Linked DNA regions of Drosophila melanogaster. The protein of the gene in region 1 interacts with the protein of each later gene in a pairwise test. Each region holds a gene or a part of one and is shown in the gene's direction. Other genes may lie near its edges. The genes, in order: CG3740, CG32450, Acp53Ea and CG43386.

The links.
Region 2: the proteins of CG3740 (region 1) and CG32450 interact in a two-hybrid assay, tested with the Drosophila melanogaster proteins (one large-scale study listed by BioGRID).
Region 3: the proteins of CG3740 (region 1) and Acp53Ea interact in a two-hybrid assay, tested with the Drosophila melanogaster proteins (one large-scale study listed by BioGRID).
Region 4: the proteins of CG3740 (region 1) and CG43386 interact in a two-hybrid assay, tested with the Drosophila melanogaster proteins (one large-scale study listed by BioGRID).

What each region holds. Positions count from the first base shown.
Region 1 is NC_004354.4:1,667,906-1,672,788, reverse strand, and holds CG3740 (uncharacterized protein), read left to right. Parts: upstream 1-3,491; 5' UTR 3,492-3,779; coding exon 3,780-3,981; intron 3,982-4,000; exon of another isoform or gene 4,001-4,044; coding exon 4,045-4,265; 3' UTR 4,266-4,383; downstream 4,384-4,883. Other genes in the region: hfw (halfway), read right to left, coding at 33-425, 492-1,002, 1,060-1,973, 2,852-2,869; dor (deep orange), read right to left, coding at 4,419-4,883.
Region 2 is NT_037436.4:22,327,420-22,332,208, forward strand, and holds CG32450 (uncharacterized protein), read left to right. Parts: upstream 1-2,358; 5' UTR 2,359-2,474; coding exon 2,475-2,738; intron 2,739-2,797; coding exon 2,798-3,010; 3' UTR 3,011-3,238; downstream 3,239-4,789.
Region 3 is NT_033778.4:16,748,233-16,752,438, reverse strand, and holds Acp53Ea (accessory gland protein 53Ea), read left to right. Parts: upstream 1-2,103; 5' UTR 2,104-2,155; coding exon 2,156-2,197; intron 2,198-2,262; coding exon 2,263-2,583; 3' UTR 2,584-2,636; downstream 2,637-4,206. Other genes in the region: Acp53C14c (accessory gland protein 53C14c), read left to right, coding at 1,205-1,246, 1,304-1,636; Acp53C14b (accessory gland protein 53C14b), read left to right, coding at 3,018-3,059, 3,116-3,472; Acp53C14a (accessory gland protein 53C14a), read left to right, coding at 3,892-3,933, 3,986-4,206. UniProt on the Drosophila melanogaster protein: Responsible for physiological and behavioral changes in mated female flies.
Region 4 is NC_004354.4:9,973,863-9,980,233, reverse strand, and holds the start of CG43386 (uncharacterized protein), read left to right. Parts: upstream 1-2,828; 5' UTR 2,829-3,075; intron 3,076-6,371. Other genes in the region: CG15252 (uncharacterized protein), read left to right, coding at 1-467, 616-735, 853-1,062, 1,117-1,185, 1,245-1,388, 1,455-1,514, 1,640-2,029.

The sequences.
Region 1 (4,883 bases):
ACCAACTGGCCATCTTACTCTCCACTCTGGCTCTACGATTCGCACAGCCAATCGCATGGCAACTTGGGCATTTTACTGGCCGGCCAGGGCAGATAGCCAGCCGTCTTGAAGACCCAATAGTCGTAGGACACCTTGGTAATAAGGGCGAGCAGCAGCAGGACCTCGGCGGCTATTAAATAGTATATGTAATCGGTCCAGTCTGGTGGGGACTGGCATAGTTTGGCCTCCTGCAGTTCGATGACTCTCTGGGGCATGTTGCGACAGCGTATCTCCATATAGTCGGGTATATCGGAGCTACGCTCCTTAAGCCAATTTTGCAGCGTCTTTGCCGAGTTGCAGTCGCACTGCAGCTTGTTGCCTGCCAGGTAAATACGACGGCCCAGGCCAGAGTCCATCAGGGCATTGTTGAGAAAGTACTCCGGAATCTATATCGTTGTAGAAAGATACAGTTTGTTTTAGGGATTGGTACATTAGTAGGTCAGAGCACTCACCTTGCTCAGCGAATTGTTTCGCATGTAGATGCGCTGAAAGGTTTCGATGAACTTGGTACCCTCGAACTCATAGATGGAGGATATCTGGTTGTTATCGGCCAAGAGACGGTTAATATTGTGGTAGGTGGGATTGGTATGGAAGTAATCGCCCAGGCTGGTTATCTTGTTGTTTGTGATATTGAGCATAAATGTGTTGTCCGGCAGTCTTTGGGGTAGCTCCACCAGGCCAAGATTGGAACAGTCTACGTGGCACTGGGGCTTCGACTGGTTGTCCTGTATGATCATAATATTCTCCAGCGTACAATTGCAGCTGCCGTAGTTCGGAATAACCGGACAATTAGTCACACACCGCTTTCTGTTCTCCAGCTGCTCCACGGACACCTTGTCCGTGGACTGAAACCAGGTGTGTGTGGCGTTATACTGACAGTAGGAGTGCTTCGGGTTCAGGAAATTAATAGATTCGGTGTATATTATCTCGTTTAGCGGAGTGCACAGCATGCGCATGTTGCCACTGAAAAGAATCGTTTGGTTAGGCCTCTTCCTTTTCTAAACATATGGCCTTACTCACCTGATATCCAGCGTAATGTTCTTGTTCTGGTTTCGGTGAGGCACCAGCGAGAGATTGTTGTTCGACATGCCGAAGAACTCCAGATGGGGCACGTCCTTCACCGCCCTCGAGTGGATCTCCGAGATGTTGTTGTTTGATATGTTTAGGCACTTAAGAGCCGAGAGCCGCGGAAAGGCGTTCACCAGTCGAGTGATATTGCCGTCCGTCACGGCAAGCGACTGCAGGGATCGGAATATTGGATTGGAGAGGTCCATGTCCTCCACAGTCATGTTGCGCACGTGCAGGTTGGTCCACTTGGATATGTTGCTGCAGCTTGAGATCATCGTCAGCTGCGATATGTTGCAGCAGTACCAGGAGTTTGGCCGCGTCGGGTGCTCCCTGCACTGGCACTGGCTGTTCCCCTGTCCTCCTCGGTTCTGGGCTTCCGACTGCGCGACTGTCGAGCCCTGGCCCTCGGAGGTTTCGGCTCGTCCGTCAAAGGTGTGGCCACACAGCTGCTCTTCTGCATAGAAGCAGTGCTTCAGATACTCGGGCTGTTCGGGAGCAGCCGGCGGAAGGGGTGCGGGCGAAGTGGTCGACGTGGTCGAGGTGGAGTGCGATGTGCTTGTGGATGTTGTGTCTGTCACAGATCCCGGATCGGACATGCTTTGCGTCTCGGCCAAACTTGATGCCGTCGTGGTTTCCCCAATGCCCACGTTATCAGTTGTTAGGATGGGAGCAGGTATTGCTGTTCCCTGCTCATCTTCCTTCAGCGGCGCATGGGGATGGGCATGGTGATGATGGCGAGCCTGTGGATGTGCGTGTGCATGTGGAGTAGACTCCTCGCCTAGTGCAGCCGGATCCGGTGTGTGTGCTATTTCTGGCCGCGCGCATGCGCCTGCTACAAGGAGCAGCAGGAGCAGGAGCCATGTGCCCTGCAACGACAACGACAATCAAAGGGCGCGTTAAAGCGAATCGAGTGGGGAAATGGGAAAAACGCCGTGTCGCACGTTGGACATACATATGCAAATATTTGCTACACCAGACGCGTTTGTTTGCAAATCGAATTAGACCGACGAGGGCTTGGCCTGGCTCGTCCTCCAATTGCCGTAATTAGGGTAAGTGAGGCACACCCTGTACGCATAAGTTGCTGGGCCTGCGGCTCTGGGAGTCGGGAGGGTCTTCGGTATCCAACTGGTTTCTAATTGTTTGCCCACTCGATTTAGCGTCTTGCGGGCCAACTGCCAACAACACTGCCATGCTAATTCGGCAATTAATTAACGAATCGTATGTGATAAAAGGGCAATAAAAAGATTAATTGTGTTAGGCAGCAATTGTGGGCGGGTCGGTGTCGGTTGGTGGCAAATTGTCGGCTTCGGCATGGAGTGGAAGTGGAAGGGGGCTATTTCCAGATCTTTGGCTGGTCAAAACAGCATAACAGTTTGGTATTACCATAGGCCAATAATAGGTTTGGTATGGAAAACATTTCCTTTTTGGCTTAAATGTTCCATAGCGTGTGAGGATACGAGGATTAACTAAAGATGGCCTCTGATTTCAAGGCAAATGCGCTTCTTTTCACAACTACAATATGAGAAATACCTATGCTGTATGAGTATAATAACTGGGTGTGGTATAAAATATAGAGCCATGGGTAGTATAACCTCACTAGCAGCACCCCTCCCTCGGAGCAATTTAGAGTGCTTTCGAGATTATAAACACAATATCAGTATCGGCATGCCCATGTCCATACCCCTACCCCTCCTGCTACAGGTACACCCATACACTAGCAGAGCTGCATGCGCATTGGACTTACGTGGGTGTACGCGAGCATGTCGCCTCCGAAATGAATTCCACTAGGTGCTCCCTGGCAGGTTTACTCCTCGACTAGGTGGCGCGGGAACGGAGCGGTCATCCACATCCGAGGAATCGCAATCATACGGAAGTGTTCACAATTTAAATGCTTTGCGCACATCCCAGTCCCAGCGGAGAGGAGCTACTTTCTGGGCGGTTCTGCAGGCTCGTTCGGTCCGCCAGGTGATCTGCCACAGATCCGTGCATGGGAAGAATCGGTCGGGTGTGATACGTAGGTGAAACACAAAAGTATCTCGACTCGAATTGATAAACTACGAACAAAACAAAATGCAAATGTTAAGTGCGCGCAGCGCAGCAGAGCACTCGCTGTTAAGTCTGATGTTAAATGCTCTGTTCGCCGCGGGCAATCGACTTATCGATACAGTGACATCGTTTGCACTGCGATTCGATAGTTGGCAAACGTAATCCGTTGAATCAATTTATATAATAAACACATATATATTTAATTTATTGTTCATCTTTAACTTAGCAACAGGACAGTAATAACCTATAGGATTAATATAAGAAATTTAATGTATGACCCATAACAGGAATGGGTTAACACATAAGGGTTAAGGCCATATATCGATATAAACGTCGATTGTGACCGCCGTTTGCGCATCTCTGAATCTGGCGCTCACAAGTTTAATCAAGTTGCTGTTTTTTAAGTCAAATATAAGCTTTTTAATAGTTCCCTTCAAGCGGATTCCGTGAAATTGTTTATGTTGTCGAGTAGCAAGTTGGAGAATTCAAGACCAACACTAAAAGGCAGGATACAAACGGAACGGGTGGCGTAATCGGAAACGTCATACTGCCGCACGGAACAAAGTCTAAACAGGAAATACTAGCATAGCGTTGCGAAATTCGGGCCAACTCCACGTAGCCTAAATATGCCCATAGATACGCGCGAGTTGATGGAGGCGATAGCCATCGTAGCGGACGAGCGCAACGTCCGCGTCGCCGTCAAGCAGTCCGGCAAGGGAGCGGCAATCTGCGCCGCCTGCTCCTTTGCGGGTGGCATGCTCCTGGGCCCCGTTGGGCTGGCGGTTGGCGGGGCCGCCGGCGGAATCGCCGCCTACAAGATGACAAGCGGTAAGCGGAGGAGAACTCCCGTACTCAGTCTCACTACATTTCCACTTCCCTCCTCCCGAACAGGCACATTCCGTCCGCTGGGCGAAGTCATCCTAAACGACCTGACGGACGCACAGCGAGAGCAGCTGGTGCAGCACGTAACCATGGCCGTGGCCGACATACATCCCACCGACGTGGTGATGCTGCTGCCGCTGATTGTCCAGAACGCCTCCATTCAGCAGGCTGTGCTTAACACTGTCATGTCATTCGTGACCAACGAGTTGCGCATGCAGATTGTGGACTGACCTGCTCTGCGGGCAAGTGGGCGATGGCCAGGTAACTGTAGAATTTGGACGGCTATCTCAGTCGAAACCTTTGTGATCAGTGTAGGTTTATTTATAATAATAAATACTTTATATGTACATAAATATTTGGGTCTGAACGACGGTGGTAGCGAACTACTCCCACTCGACATTCACCTGCTCCCAGTCGTCAACGAACGGCTGGTCGATGGTGCTGATTAGCAGCCCGCAGAATAGGCAATCCGCAGCAAGAATATCCTCGATCTCGGTTTTCAGTGCCGCCCTCTTCCGCTGCAGCTCCATCGCCTGCTGTTTGCTCAGGGCACCTGACTGCGGTTGCGCCTGCGTTTGCACCTCCGCCTCCAGTTGCTGCTTTAGAGTGCCGAGGCGCCGACATTGCTCCTTGGTGAGCAAGGGCACAACGTGCTTCTCCAGGCAATCGCTGTGGAACTTGTGGCCGCAGATGAAGATGAAAAAGGGCTTAACCAGCAGCATCATCTCGCAAATTTCGCAAGTATCCTGAGACTCAACGGTGAGGCTGTGCTGGCGCAATTGCTGCAACTCGGCGGTGACGCGATCGGTTTGCTCCGTAGTCTCGGCCATTTCACGCTGCAGCTCCTG
Region 2 (4,789 bases), on another chromosome or scaffold:
GAAACTAAAGCAATTCCAAATGGAAAACTGCTGCAAATTAATCAAATGCCTTTGCAGTACGGAATGGAAAGAGCGAGAGGAAAACGGTCAAAGGACAGGACTGGCAAGCAAACACGAGAACGTCAGTCAGTCAGTCAGCCAGTCACAAAGACACAGGCGAGCGATAAAAGCCAAAGCCAAAGGCAAGCAACCCTTTTTCCGAATCGAAACCAAACCAACCCAGCCCAACCCTTCAATCTGCACACACACTAGGGTTGTATATACTTATATATCGTAACGCATTAAATCGATAACACGATTTTTCAGCACGCACACAGCTCCCCGTCGAACCCGTACTGAAATCCAAAACAACTGGTTGACTGTGAGTTAAATTGTCAGTTTCATTACGTGGCAGCTTTCATAGCGTCTTTTGCTGTCTGCTTCCTGCCCCGGAACTCCGGAATGTTCCTTGCTTTTTTAAAGCCAAATCACTACGACTGCGCGTGAGCGTTCCCCGTCACTTCGCTTGCAGTGCGACAAGCGATTTTTCAAGTTGCCGCTTCATCGTTCTGCGGAGCTGCTTCTCCGTCTTTTTTGTTCGGTGCGGTTTCGGGGCTCTGCGTTCTGGGCGCCAACAAGTTCAATTTTCGGAAAAGGGCAGGAGCGCATCGAGAGCGGAGAAGCGAAGCCCCTGGGACTCCTCGAAACCGGCGAGTCGTGCGTTCTTGAGAACTTAAGGACCTCGACGCTGGTGAGTTCAACAAACATTTAACTGATTGCCTGGCGTGTCTTCGTGCCCAGCCCTGTCTGATTTTTTGATTTGCTATACACCTGGGAGCGGGACGGCCCTTGGCCACGAAAATGTTTAGCTTATTTGTTAGCGCTGCAAAATAAATTGTGTGTGCGTGCGGTAATTGTAAATTGCGTACGGGCAGACAGACAGTGGCGATTGTCAGTGGAGCAGCCGAGTTATTGGCACCTCTCCAACGTACGGGTATGCCATGAATTTTTGATCGAACAATGAGTGGATCGAGGGTTGCCACCTTTTGCCAATACGATGAGGTTGGCGAAGGCAGCAACAAACTAGGCTTTTGATTGCAAGTCCCCATCCCCATCCAATCCAATCTCGTTCCGTACGCCCCCAGCTAAGCCAATTCAATCAGGGGACCTGCCTGCAACCCTCTGAGTAATCCACTTTTGGCCTCCCGAAAGTGCGCAACAATTTCTTTTAAACTTCCTGCTGACACAAATCAGACCGAGGCCATAACTCAAACTATCTCCACCTCCGCTCGGCTGAATCAATAACCATAAACCGAAGCTCCTTATGCTCACGTGGAGGAGCCGCATAAAAAGTATGCCACATGCTCGGGGAAATCACTAAATTCAGCCTGAGGCAACGTGTACCTCATCATTTATGTGTGGCAGGGGCAAGAAACGGCGAGCCCGAAAACCAAGCAATGCCCACCTTCATAACTGAGAGTGCTTATCACGCCCACTTCCCCTTGATCCCCTCCTGCCGATACCGCCAACTACCGAGTACCGACTACCGTCTACATGTGACATTTGCATGCTTACTTAAACAGCAAAAAGCAGCATCTACGACAGCCACGTCGAGCTTGGCACGTCTGCGTCAACTATACTTTACATTTCGGCCAGACTGGTTTCGGTTTCGGTCTTGGTCTGAACCAGATGCTCAGTTGGAGTCTAGGACCCAGAAGGCCAAAAGAAGGAGAAGGCCCACTAGTGTTGTCAGTAGGCAGTCACAATCCTGTCGACGTCACATCAGCACACGTGTGTAGTAAAAATCAGACGTGTGGGCGCTGCTCGAGGAGCACACAGGCCTTGGCAATGTCGAGGCGCTCTAGTTGCCGCAGTCGATTCGAGTCGAGTCCTGCCTAGTCCTGCCTCCATGTACTTTGATTGCTTGCACGTTACCCGTACAATTTTCGGTATGATGGCGGCAACATTTCATGATTTCTTGTACGTGTTTCTGGCAGTAAGCACGCGTCCTTTCCTCTGCCGCGCACACCGTGTCCTGCGACCCTGGTCCTTCGCCCCACATCTATTCCGGCTCATGGGTTCCGGGGTAATGTATGCAAGCACTTTTTGTATATGACGCCGTTGCGCTTTGGGTCCTCGTCGTGTTTGTTTGCCTGGTGACTGATGATGGTTTGGCTGGTTTTGCTCAGCTCCCACTTTAGCTTCATTTTCCACCGCCACTTCTGTCGCTAGTTTTTCACCAGCAGCATCGATTCGAGCGTATGTCCTGCTAATAAATCAATGACGCCATTCCGGGGCTCCCAAGTAGGCGATGATTTATGTCTGGCTAAAGGGTTTTCACGAATACCGGGCCTAATTGAGTTGCCCTTGATGGATCAGTCATTTTTAGAGTGCTGCTTGTCCAGTACCAAGTAGAAGTCGCTTTAGAACAATCTAAAATTCGACGTTGCTGTTTTTTTTGGTTTAACATTCTCTATATACATTTTTTTAAAAATATGGATATAACGGTACCGCCGCCGGACTCGCACTGGTCGTTGAGGTTTGTGGACATCGTGAAGCCTTTTCCAAAACATACTTTGGCCAATGCCACTTATAAGATCATTCGCTTCTTTTACCCACCCTTTGCCCTGGAAACCGTCGATGTCACCCACGTGGTCAGCGATCCCGAGCTGAATAGTTTAAACGTGGGGCTGTTTGTGGTAGTTCCCTTAATTCTGGCCTGCATCGGCTATGGGGTGTACAAATATGTGCGGAGTATGGTAAGTTTTGTGCGTGGACCTATAGCCCCTGACCTCTGACCAAGTCTGACCTCGAGCAGCATACAGTGGCTAAACGGACACCATTAAAATTGTACGAGCTTGAACAGCGTATGAAAGACAAGTACGGTCCGGAATACAAGCAGGGAATCTGGAAGCGAAAGGACATTTCTGACCCCCTCCTATTAACCACTGATCCATCCGAACCAAAAGCAAAGAGATGTGAAAGCAGCAATGCCCACTGGCTGCGCAAAACCGATAGATCCGATGATTAATTAAATCAACACTCAGTTGGATCCCCACTCGGATATGACTGGGGATCTTAAAATCGAGAATCGAGGAAAGTACCTTCTCGAATCCAACCAGGCTTTGTACCCTTCTAAGCAACAAAATCGATATGATCCTTCAATTCCGTTTAATGATTGAGACCTTTTTTGCGACTGGAAAAGTGTCAGCTTTGGGCTTTCTCGTTTGGCGCAATAAAATGAAGTGATTGTTTGGTTTTTTATGTTGCAAAAACACACTGAACCCCGCAGAGCGAAGGGAAAGACATTGCACATAGGATTAGGTGGGGGTTTTGGGGCCAAGTCCTGGGTAATCATTTGGCAGCGCATGTGTCGGATTATTTTGTTGGTTTGCGTTTTATTTAAATTTGCTTCTTTCGGCTGCCTTTTTGCTCGTGCGGTGGTTGTTTGTCGCCCGAAAATCTGACAGCAGCTGAAAAGCATGCTAAGCTTCGTGCTTTCTTTTTGCTCTGGCTCAAAGCAAATTAATGATTTGCCATCAAGCAAATAAATCAAAAGCTTCAAAGCAGATCTCTGGCTTAGCGCGCTGCGCTGTGGTGCGGTGCGATGGGATCCTGGGGCTGGCTGCGATTTAAGTCCCTTTCATCTCGGCCTGCTCCACTTTAAAGCCAGTCCCGAATGCATAGTTTTATTTCGCAGCTATTTCCACTCAACTAAGCGCATGCATTGATGATATATCCCCTTCCGTGTGACACCCCTTCCCATTGACATGACATAAATAACCGTGTGAGGCTGTTATAATTTATAATCCTTGCTCTGGACCCCCAGCAACAATAATACCAACAACAACAACAACAACAACAACAACAACAACAGCAACAACAACAACAACAACAGCAGCAGCAGCAACAAGAACAAACACAGCAACAGGAGCAGGAGTAACAAGAGCAGAAATAATATGGGAATGCCAGTGCAAATATTTTTGCTTGCTCCTCTCGGTTTCTATGATCCGAGTTTCCTTTTACTTTTTTGTCCTATTTTATTTATTCGAAACCTGTGCCTCTCCCAGGTTGGCAGCACAAATATTTTGTTGGTTCCCTTCCGAGCCACCCAGCCACTATTTCACACCCGCTCGGCTGCATTTAGTTTATGTGTGTGTTACCTTTTTTCTCGGTAAAATGAGGTCAAAAGTTTATTGGCTAATAAATGTGTGCGCAAGTGGGTGGGGTGTTGTTTTCGCAGGCATTAATGTCAGGCGCAAACTGCAGAGGCTGCAAAGTTTTTGGCAGAGCTTTAATGCCGATAAACAAATTGCATGCACTTAGCTACAGGCCGCCCATCCAAGGGGAGATGGGCAAGATTAGGGCAGTCGAAATGGGCTTTAAATGATCCTGCAGCACACTCGATGGCACGATGGCCACAAAAGCGAATCAGCTGCCCTACCGACGGCTAATTACAAACTAATCAGCCAACAAATAAATTTCAAATAAATTATACAAGAACGGAATTGGCTAATGCATTGCAGTTGAACGACAGCCAGAGCGAAACAAAAAACTTCAAATCTATGTTGGGCCAACCAAACCGAACGAAAGCAAACCAAACCAAGCCAAAACTGCCAAACACACCAAAATTTTAAGCTATTCAATTATGGTTCGTTCAAAAAGAACAGCAAAACTATTTTAATTATTTACATTAAGCCCCTCAACATGTTTGGCCGACACACAAGCTCTTTTCTCCAATTAAACTGGGAATAGGATCTAGCTGGCAAGGGAAACCGGCATAGAATATCTCATTCGCATTCACATTCGA
Region 3 (4,206 bases), on another chromosome or scaffold:
CTTTTAAGGCTTCTCCCCCCACAGACTCCCCACAAAAATACCAAACAGTTTCGCTTCTAAAATGCTCCCTCTCGGAACCACCTGCTAAAGCTTCAAGCAACACGTTACGGAACAAACCAATTGTAGTTTTGATAAGAGTCTTAAACTAGTACGCAATGGCCACCTGTATATTTCCCAACTGAAAATGAAACCGACATTTTGCTTTGCTTGCGAAAAGAACTTTGAATTTAATTTGCGTTTCGCCATCGGTTGATGCACGAGCTTAGGTCAGGTTAATGGATCAATTGGAGCTTCACTTGTGCCCGGATCACAAGCCTCGAAGCTCCCAAAGTTGTTGAAGGGATCGCTTTCGTTTGTGTCGCAAAAATGGACACGGAACGTTAAGCGATCGTTGCTGGATCGAGGAATACGTATTCTTTTAGAAATCGTTTCGGAACTGAGTCGGCGTTTTGGGTTTTGAGTTAATTGTAGCAAAATGTAAACATTTGTTAAACTATTGAATTAATTTCCAATTGTAACATATTAGAGAATTGTAATTACAATAATCATTTTACAAGCATATTATATGATATCTATGTATGTAATAACCTATTTTGGCCCAGTTTGAATTTACCAACAAAAGAATTGCACACACCAAAAATATAGAGCTATATATTAGCGAAGCGAGTTAACGAGCAAGAAACTCAACTTATATATGCGTATATGGTACAATACATTTCAAAATCGATTTAAATATGTACATCGGCTATATATCAATGTATGTAAGAGATGATTGCCTGGCAACCGTTTCCAATGACAGATGAAAATTAGAAGAGCAGAACCAACGCGTGGAAAATGAGGGAAAACCTATGCTATGTGTATGTATAATCCAAAACAAATTGATATTTGCCAGGGCGTATCACTATTAAAGAAATATAAAATAAAACGGCTTTAAATAAAATCTGTAAACTATCGGGTTGCTTTATATTGATTAGGCTATACGAAGAAAGGTAAGGTAAGATAGAGCTGATTACTGAAAATGTGGCTTATATTGACTCGATATCTATGATTTGTGAAGCGGACTGAAACATTAATTTGATATTTTACAGCATTTTTATGTCGCAAATGAGCGTAGTTAAACCATTTACATTCTGCAACTCAGAAACACTATAAGTGGCGTTTAGTTTACGTCTGGAACCTCTGTGTTCACTGAAGTCTTTCGGCCATGAAGTCCAAACAAGTCTTTTACATCGCCTTCAGCTTGCTTGTGAGTTTTAATATTTGCTCAAAACTTTTTACTGACTACGATTTTTAAATTGTAAAGCTGCTGGGATCCTTGCTGCCAAACGAAGTGGAGTCCTTAAGAGTAGATCTTAATAAGCTGGCGGAGTGCACAGAATCGGGATTGAAAGTAGCCACAACGTTGCTCGTGAGGGCGATACCATGTGTAAAAAAATTGGCAAAATGTGCTGACTTTCGAGCCATTAAGACTAAGGACCTTGATATTACCGCACTTGCCCTCTTGGGCTATCAATATCTGCAAACGGTCGTGAACAACCAAAGATGTCTATTGATCTCATTGAAAGAAGGCTACGACGCTGTGTCGCCACACCTTGACAAACTTATTAGTGGCAAGTGCCTACCAGGGCTCAGCTAAAGCAATATATACATATGCAAACACTTTATTTGGTTTTTAAATTCTTAATTTAGCCTTAGATATAGACATATTTTCAGTATTTAAATGAGTTGCTTGAATCACAGGAATACAATGAATTTGGCGAGATTATATGATTATATTCGGCAATAAAATCTAGATAATTATAGTTGTTATTAAAAGGACAGCGAAATAGAAAGCACAAGCTTAAAAATTCTTTTTGCGGGTCTGGAATTAATTACGAATTCAATTTGAATTCAGTTTCAACTATATGCCTTCTTTTTGTAACCTTTTGTATAATGTTATTATATAAAATGTTAATGAACATGCGAAAACGATTAACAATAGCAACAAAATCCATAAACTGCTCACACACTTTGAAGTGTAAAATCTGTTTTTAAAGCTTCTAATAGACCGTGCTGATTCGATTATCCTGGGGCCTATAAATAGGGCATAAAACACAGGGGCTCCGAAAGTTTGATCTTCAGCCGTTTAGTCGAAAGCACACAGATAAGGCTTCCAATGAAACTGATAAAGGTTACACTAGTGTTCAGCTTACTGGCTGTAAGTACATTATTTAAATATGATCTTTTTAGGCACAATAACAATAGATAAACTTCACTTAACAGCTCGTATTTGTGGCCCAAACGGAGGCGCAAAATCCAATATGGGAGAATTGGTTGGCATGCAATAGAATTGGTACTAAAGCGCTTGCCAGTCTGCTGAGAGAAACAATCCCAACTGTTCGCAATTTACTGAACTGCATTGACTTCAATCCACCAACCGATATTGGAAATAGTTACCTTTCAAAACTTAAGTTGTACTATGAGCTTGTTAAGCGAGGTGCGCTTGACAAGACTCAGTGTCTGATTGTGCCACTCAAGGAATCAGTGAGACTACTGAGGCCTTATGTAAAATCGCTTGAGACCAACAAATGCTTGGGTGAATAAATCACTATTTTGGCCATAATAAAATAAATTTCTGAGCATTAATAAAGCACAGCAATCAAAAATGTATATTTTTTAAAGGAGGGTAATGCCTAATAGACCTTCCAAATTAATCATGATATAAGTTAAGTGCGGTTTTTTTCTCAAATTTTTTATTTATATTATGATATTACCGAAACCCAAAAACACATTTTGGTTTGGATTCAATCGGCTGAAATACTTTATATGCGAGACAAATTATTCTGTTGTATTGCATTTGAAAATTGAATTGACATGTATTAGGCGCAAAATTTATTATGGTTTTTAACTGTAACCAATTTTTTTAGCACTGCTTAGGTGGATGAAATTAAAATTAGCTTGTAATCCTATAAATAGGACAGCCCTTTCATAAATATTCTAAGTTTTTTCTGGTCATAATCGCGACTTAAAACAGGAGAATGAGCGTGATCAAGTCCATATTTCTGCTCAGTATTTTGGCTGTGAGTACATTTGGCTCACTTAATTACTTTTTAAATATACTTACCATTCTCCATAGGTCTGCCTCATTCCCCGGGAGACGGAGGCCCAGGCCACTATAAGTGAAAGCTGGGGAAGGCTGGGCAAGTGTACTCAGGTGGCCATCGAAACACTGACCAGCCTGGCCGATAAAATCGTCCCGACCGTATATGAGTTGAAACAATGCTCCGGATACGTAACTTTGGAACCGGCAAACGGCAAAGACAGAAAGATTACCTGGTACCTAAAGGTATCCTATGAATTCTTCAAGAAACTTGTCTTTGACGAACCCAAATGTCTGCACGGTCTACTGAACAAGTTGGCTGCCACAATCAAACCATTTGCCGAGCAGATATCGGGATTAGGTTGCTTGGACGAAGAAGATTATATCATTTAAAAAGAAAAGTGTGCACATTACATAAATAAATCGAGAGCAATATGGGGTCTCAAATGTCAGCAACAAAAATGTATTTCTTATTAAGTATAATTTTACAATATAACTACTGCATTTGGAAGTTAAGTTGAAGTTAAAGTTGGCTAAACACATTCAAGTTATGTGATTAAATTTTATTTTATATGATTAATTCAACAGAAGCTTGATAATAATGGAGAAGTCGCGGCCACGGTCTGGAAATTAGTAAGATTAGATTCGGATTACAATCATATTTTCGGTATAACAATTGAAAGGCGGTACATTGGGTATCAGTGATGCTCGACAGCATTACTAAAGCGATTATCCTGAGGCCTATATATATAGGGCAATATTTCCACATGGCCCACAAAGTTGGATCAAAAGTTGCTGGAATAAGAACCCCAATGCATTTGATTAAGATCGCCTTGTTACTAAGCTTTTTGGCTGTAAGTACGTCGACCTTTAACGGGATTATTTCTTAACCATTTCGCCATTTAGTTATGCCAAAAGTCGCAAGTTCAAGCCGCCATAAGTTCGGAACTCGATCACTATCTGCGATGTTTGGAAGTGGTGACTGATGCCGGTGCCCTAATGATCGAGAACTCTATAACGGCCATAAGCCTCCTATCCGATTGCGTTGATTTTCAGCCGAAAATCAAACTAACTGGTAGCATTCTCAGATTTATTAGGGTGGCCCATCAGTTTGGCAAGAAGGCGAT
Region 4 (6,371 bases), 8.3 Mb from region 1:
ATGCCATCGAACAGCAGTTGTCCAGGGATCAGAGGGCGCTGGAAATACTCAATCGGGTGATGGATGTGGTGTCCCAGGCCAAGGATGATCATGAGTTCCGAGTGGAGTTAAGGGAAATGGCTCAGGAGCAAAAGGAGGAAGAGCTGTACAATCAGGAACTCTCCGCCGATCTCACGGATCAGCCAAAATTGGGCGAGAGATTGGGAAAACTGAGACGGAATATCATCAAGCAGGTGCCACAAATGAAAAACGAACTGGAGGCCAAGATTGACAAGGCTCTGCAGCATTTATTGGAACAGGCTGGAGAGGATGGAGTGTTGGCCAAGGCCAAGCAAAAGGTGATCCACAAAAGGCAAATCAAGAATGGAACAAAGCAGAGGAAACAGGAGAATCGGAACAACCAGGAGGAGGCGGAGCAACGACAAATTCCGGAGGAAATGAGGATTATAAAGTCCATACTTTCTGAGGTAGTACTAGAGAAATTATTCACAATTCCTTAAAAATCACATACATTAATTCAAAAGTGGTTTTTGAATATAAAAATGATTAACCTTTTAAGTTTAAGCTAAAAATGCATGTCTTTAGTATGGAACGCTTGATTTTTTTTAACGCCAGGCTCATGACTTGCGCTTCCAGGAAGATTTCCTGGAAAATATGTTGGATCAGCCGCCGCCGAGGCGAATTAAAATAGAACCCAACTCTTCGGAACTCGATGATCTGGATATAAACGTAAAGGTGAGCAAAGGACCCATGTTTAACCCTTTGTGACTAACCCAATGACCGCTAATTGATGATGACCTAACCCAACATTGACTTGGTTCACCTAACCCTTTGTCCCACGGCCTTTTGAAGTCGCCAAATGTTACAGCCAAAGGTAAACCGAAAATGAAAGCAAAGCCGGAGAAACAGGTGGAGGCGGAGGGCACAGGCTCCTCGTCGGAATTGGCCACGGATGACAACGATGACCTGGGCGATGGGGATGAGCCCGGTGATGGCGGAGACGGAGCAGGTGGTGGAGGAGGCGGTGGCGGTCTGGTTGGCATCATTAGCAGCCTGAGCGGTGTAAGTGGAAGGCTAAGAAACCCATAAATATTTATTTAAAATGGATTTATTTAGGGTGAAGGTGGTTCCGATGTGGGTGCCTTAATTGGTGCCCTTACCGGTGTGATATCCACTTTATTTGGAGTAAGTATTGAAGTTTTCCAATCAATCAAGGGTATTTAAATAGAAAAACTATCTTTTAGCCTGGAGGCCTAGATGTGCAAGGTCTGATTCAAACGGGAACCTCGCTGATCTCTGGTCTTCTGGGCGGGAATAAGAACTTTGGCCTCGTGTTGGGACAATATGTGGGCACTGCTTTGGATGGTCTCTCTGGAGGTGGTGGAGCGGTGGGTTCCTCAAACCTATTTTCATGAATTTCCAGTCATTTTACTTGCATATATTATTTTTTCCAGATTAACAATGGCCAGTTTATAGGCAACTTCTTGGGCACTGTGCTGGCCGCATTGAGCGCTGTATTTATATATTTTGCTTATATATATATTTACCTTCTAGATCCCAACCTCATAACTGTGTTACTAACCCCTGAACGTCATTTATTTAGCGAGTGCAATAAACAACATTCTACAATCTTTAACAGGATCCCGAGGAGGAGGGCCCACCGCAACCATTGACCTTCACCAAGAACCTGATCACCAGCTTCCTGGAGGCAAAGTTTCGACCAATTTCAGAGGACGGCTCAGAGGAGCGACACGGAAGTGCGGAGTTGCCACGCCCGCGAAAGAAGAAGGAGGGCGGTGGATGGGCAGCTGCGGCGGCAAATAACTTTGATTCTGGAGGATTTGTGAAGCAAGTGGCCTCCCATCTGGTGAGCAATGCCCTTGGATTGATTTTGAATGCCGGTCTGGGAGCCGCTGGAGGAGCTTCGAGTGCAGCCAAGAATATTTTCGCCAGCAGCAGCATGGGTCATCATGCCAAGCCGGCAGATCACCATAGATCTTGGAACCCCTACCATAATGAGCCATTCTAGCCAGCTTAGTCATCACATAATCATAGTTACGTTAATCGTTTGTGTTAAACCCATTTTTTTTTTGCTAGTTCGTAACCGAAATAAATAAAGAAGTGAGGAGAAAGACTTGTTGGTCACTTGGGCAGCTAAGAAAGCGTAAAAGAGGGGCTCTAAATCAAGTGGCGTAACAGCTTGGACAGCGGCTGATGCAAGAGATCCGATGGAATTCAGTGGGAGCCACTGCAATGAACCACTCCCCCAAGGATGCGGTGGGGCAAATCACTGGATGGAAACGCAAAAAGCGAAAGCTCGCAATGAGCGGAAGTAAAAACTAAGTAAAGGTTGAGGGGTGAAATAGCTTGTTTGGGTTCATTTCCTCAAACTAAAGTTCAGTGGAAGGTAGAACAGGGGAATGAACTACGGATTTCGGCTCAGGAGTTTCGCTTCAAAAATTAGTTTTAAATACATTTGGCAATACCTTAATTAACTAATATTTAAATTAAAAAGATAGAATTAATATATATTTTGTAACCCAATAGCCTAATAGCGAATATTTTTGGATCTTCTTGACCCAAGAGTTTTCCCTGAACCTTTCTCCGTGGGCCAACTACTTGGTAGCTTGCCCAATGGAGCGGGCATTGTGTCACTTTCTACTGATTACAGGTTTCATTAAAATGCTTTTACTTGTTTACTTCTGGTGCTTTCTCTGACTCTCTCGCTCTCTCTCTTCCGCCTGCTCTCTCTCTCTCTCTCTCATTCTGTCTTTCTCTTTTTTTTTTTTGAAGTGGGCTGAATATTTTTTTAGCGGCGAGTTTCAGTTTTCAGTTATGCGTGAATCTTTCACAAGACAAAGTGACATTTTGCGGGCCGTTTAGTTGTCGCGTTTTTAATTTGAAAAACTTCAGGTTGTGTTTATTGTTTTGTGTTTTTCTTGTGCGCTCAGTGTTTGTGCTGGTTTATTTGCATTTTGAAATTGTTTATGAACTCAATTATATATTTGGGTGCTTCGGAGAGTTCGCATTGCAATTAAGTTTGGCAAGCCGCATTTTTATTTTATTATATTTCGGGTGAGTATGTATATAAGGCGGCTGAAAGCCGAAAAAAAGGGAAATAAGCGACAATCCCAGCTCAAAATGTATGTCAAAACGAAAGACTTAGGCAACGAACTTGCTAACTGGGCTAAGCCTCAACTGAAAATGCTGGCATAGGTCAGGTCTGTTCCAAAAACAAACAACACTACGGGGGGCTATTAATGGAGGGGGTTATTGAAGAGGGGGGGGGCGCTATTGGTTAGCGTTCGTCCATTAATCGCTTTGGCTACCGAAATTTGGCAACAGCGCCGACGTCAACAATGCAAAAGTGAAGATTCAAATGCGTTAATTGCTTCATAAATCAATTAACAAGAGCCTAACCAATCGTAAGCCGAAAAAAGGGAGAGTTTTATTGTTCTCCTATGACTTACGCTTTGTGTTCAGTGTCATATTTGATTGTTGATTATATTAAGCTATATGGATGGTGTCCAACATTTACTGGTTGACGTGCTACTTAAAATGCTATATAAATTACAAATTTTACATACATTTTAAAAAGGTTTTTTGTTTTTATAGGGAAGTGATTTGAGGGAACTTTCCTTTTTACTCTATTTCATTCGCATTTCATTTGAATTTTCGGGGTTAACTACCTGGTAACCTACTACTCATATTCGGCCTGACCCCTGGTCGCTGTCATGATTGAGGATGAACCAGAGTCAGAGCTAAAAAGACACTCAAAAATTAAAAAAAAAAACAAAAAAAATCACCAACTTGTCTGGGCCATGCAAGAGTGGCCTGGCCCAAAGAAACCGGTAACGGTCTCAAGGTCGTTCGTCGAATCGATGGCTCTGGCCAGATAAGCCTTAGCCCAAGATACAGCAGCCAGTTTAGCCATCAACGCGCTTTGGGCCAAAAGCTAAAAGCTATCAGCCATCAACTCTAAGGCATAAGCAATAACAAAACTCAGTGATGATAGCTGGGCCAAAATAAAAAATAAATAAATAAAATCGAAAACGAGGAAAAAAGCGAAAGTGAACGCCATGAAAGTGGAGCAGTCGAGCTGGAAATCCGCCGAAGGCAAACCGGCGGGGGGGGGGGGGTTGCGTCTCTTCATAAACAAAAAGATATATATGCAGGTGTCATATCTAAGTCGGTCAATAAGTTTATTGACCAGGCGACGCTCCAAATTGTGCGGTTGTTTCGGGAGAGTTATGCAAATCGATTGTGGCAACCCGATATCGAAAAGCGTAGAAACTTATGGCCGTTAAACAATGCACCCTTTTATATTTTTCGGGCCGATTAATATGCAAATCTCGAAATTTCTTATCCACCACTCGATATGTTGTGGCTTTATGTTTCAATTATGAGCGTTAAAGTCCGTATCGCAGATCTTGTATTATACGAATTTTCACACATTTTTTATGATGATATTTTTCCTGGGCAGTAAATTATAAGTTGATGCGGGTCTGGGCGAATGACTGTTTATGTTATTACCGGAGTGTTTTTGCCTATTATAAAATATGTTTAATACTCTTGAGTTTTATTTGCTTGGCAATTTCATAAGCCTTTGGCATTTTCGTTTAGCTTAGAAGTGATTTCCAATTTACGCCTCATTTAACAGCACTAAGTTCTGCACGGCAATTAAGCAAAGTGATCAGATTTGAAATGCCTTTCAAAATATCTAATGCCAAAATGATATTATTACGGGGCGACCTTCGCCGGCCGCCAGTGGCGAGATTTATTAATACTATAATTACAATAATGGCTGAACAAACAAATAAACGCTACATGACAGCAGAATCTGAATCTCCGGCAACCTTTGCGCAAAATCAAACGAATCATTTTTGCCTGGCCAAGAACAAAGTTCGTTTGTCCGATTCTAATACTAATTCTCAGACTGAGTTTTCAGTGAATGGTGGTCAGTTATTTAGTCTGTCGGCAACGCCTTTTCCAATTAAATTCGACCCGGCTATTGGGTACAAAGCAAAAGCACTCGATGCGAAAGATTGGCTTACAAACGGTCTTAATATAAACCGAATTAACTTTATTTTTCCATTAGAGTATTACACATGTGGTGCAAATCTTCGTGGGATTTGCTAAGTTAATTGCAACTTTTTAGAGATTGTCTACACACAACAACTAAAAGTCATTTGAACGTATCTCTTAAAACAAAAATATCAATTCTTTGGCAAGACGTTCTATTGCTTAGTGATTGGTTTTAAAGATATATGGTACCTCTTTTTTTTATATCTTGCCTATACCTGGCACATATTTATTTTGGCATATTTTAGATATTTATTAATAAGTAATCCCAGTCTTAAAAACATTTCCTTGGTCAAATGTCAAATGTACTGGCCGTAAAACACTTGCGCAAAGCCATCAGCAGTTCATTAGAGGCCCATTGCTGCGGCGGAGTTGAATACATTAGATGGAAATGGATGCGGAATCGAGTGCTGGCTTCTCCTCCATCTGGTTAACGAGCCGCACTCTCGGTCCAAATGAATTGGTTAATGGGTAATGGTTATGACCGTCTTCCCAACTTGCGGCGTGTAAACGGTTACTCGTTAAGCAAGGGGGTGCCCAATAGACCTGTTACCCGTTTCACTATATCTATTTTCCATTTTAATTTTATTATTAATTTTTTTTTCTCTGTTTTTCCTGCGTGCACTTAGCGGAGTCATTGTGGCCAGAACAGCGATGAGCAGGTGACATTAATGCCATGGCCCAAAACTGAGCAAAACCACACAAAAAAAAAAGAAAGAAAAAATAGCAGCCAGCGCATAATGCATAATGACAACCGTTGCATAACCCCCCCGCCAGTTGGGCAATGCCAAATTATGCCCCGACATGTTGGCGAAGGGTATTATGCTATATGCTATATGGCGTATGCTATATAGCCATTTCCAGAGAACAAGTTGCCACTGGTTAGTACGGATTTAATGCGTCTGCCCCACTATTTCGGCCCCTGACATTTTCGACGCGACAACTAAAGTTTAGAAACACAAAAAAAAAAAAAAAAAAACACAACACAAACTGACAATTGTAACCAAAAGGCGAAACTGGAAATGCAATGAAGATCTGGTTGTAGTGAATAAAGTCACTAGGGTTCAGGGGGCAAGGATTTGGGGCGCTTTTGGGGTCTTGGCCAGGCCAAAACGGCATGTTTTCTGCCAGATTGCTTTGAATAAAAACCAAGACACATAGCGCCTGTCTTTTTGCTAACATTTTTTTTTCTGGTTTTCTGTTGTCGGTTTTCTGTCATAAACATTATGACACGCGCTGCAACGCTGATGGACAGTTTGACAGATTGACTCACTGACAAACTGACGAAG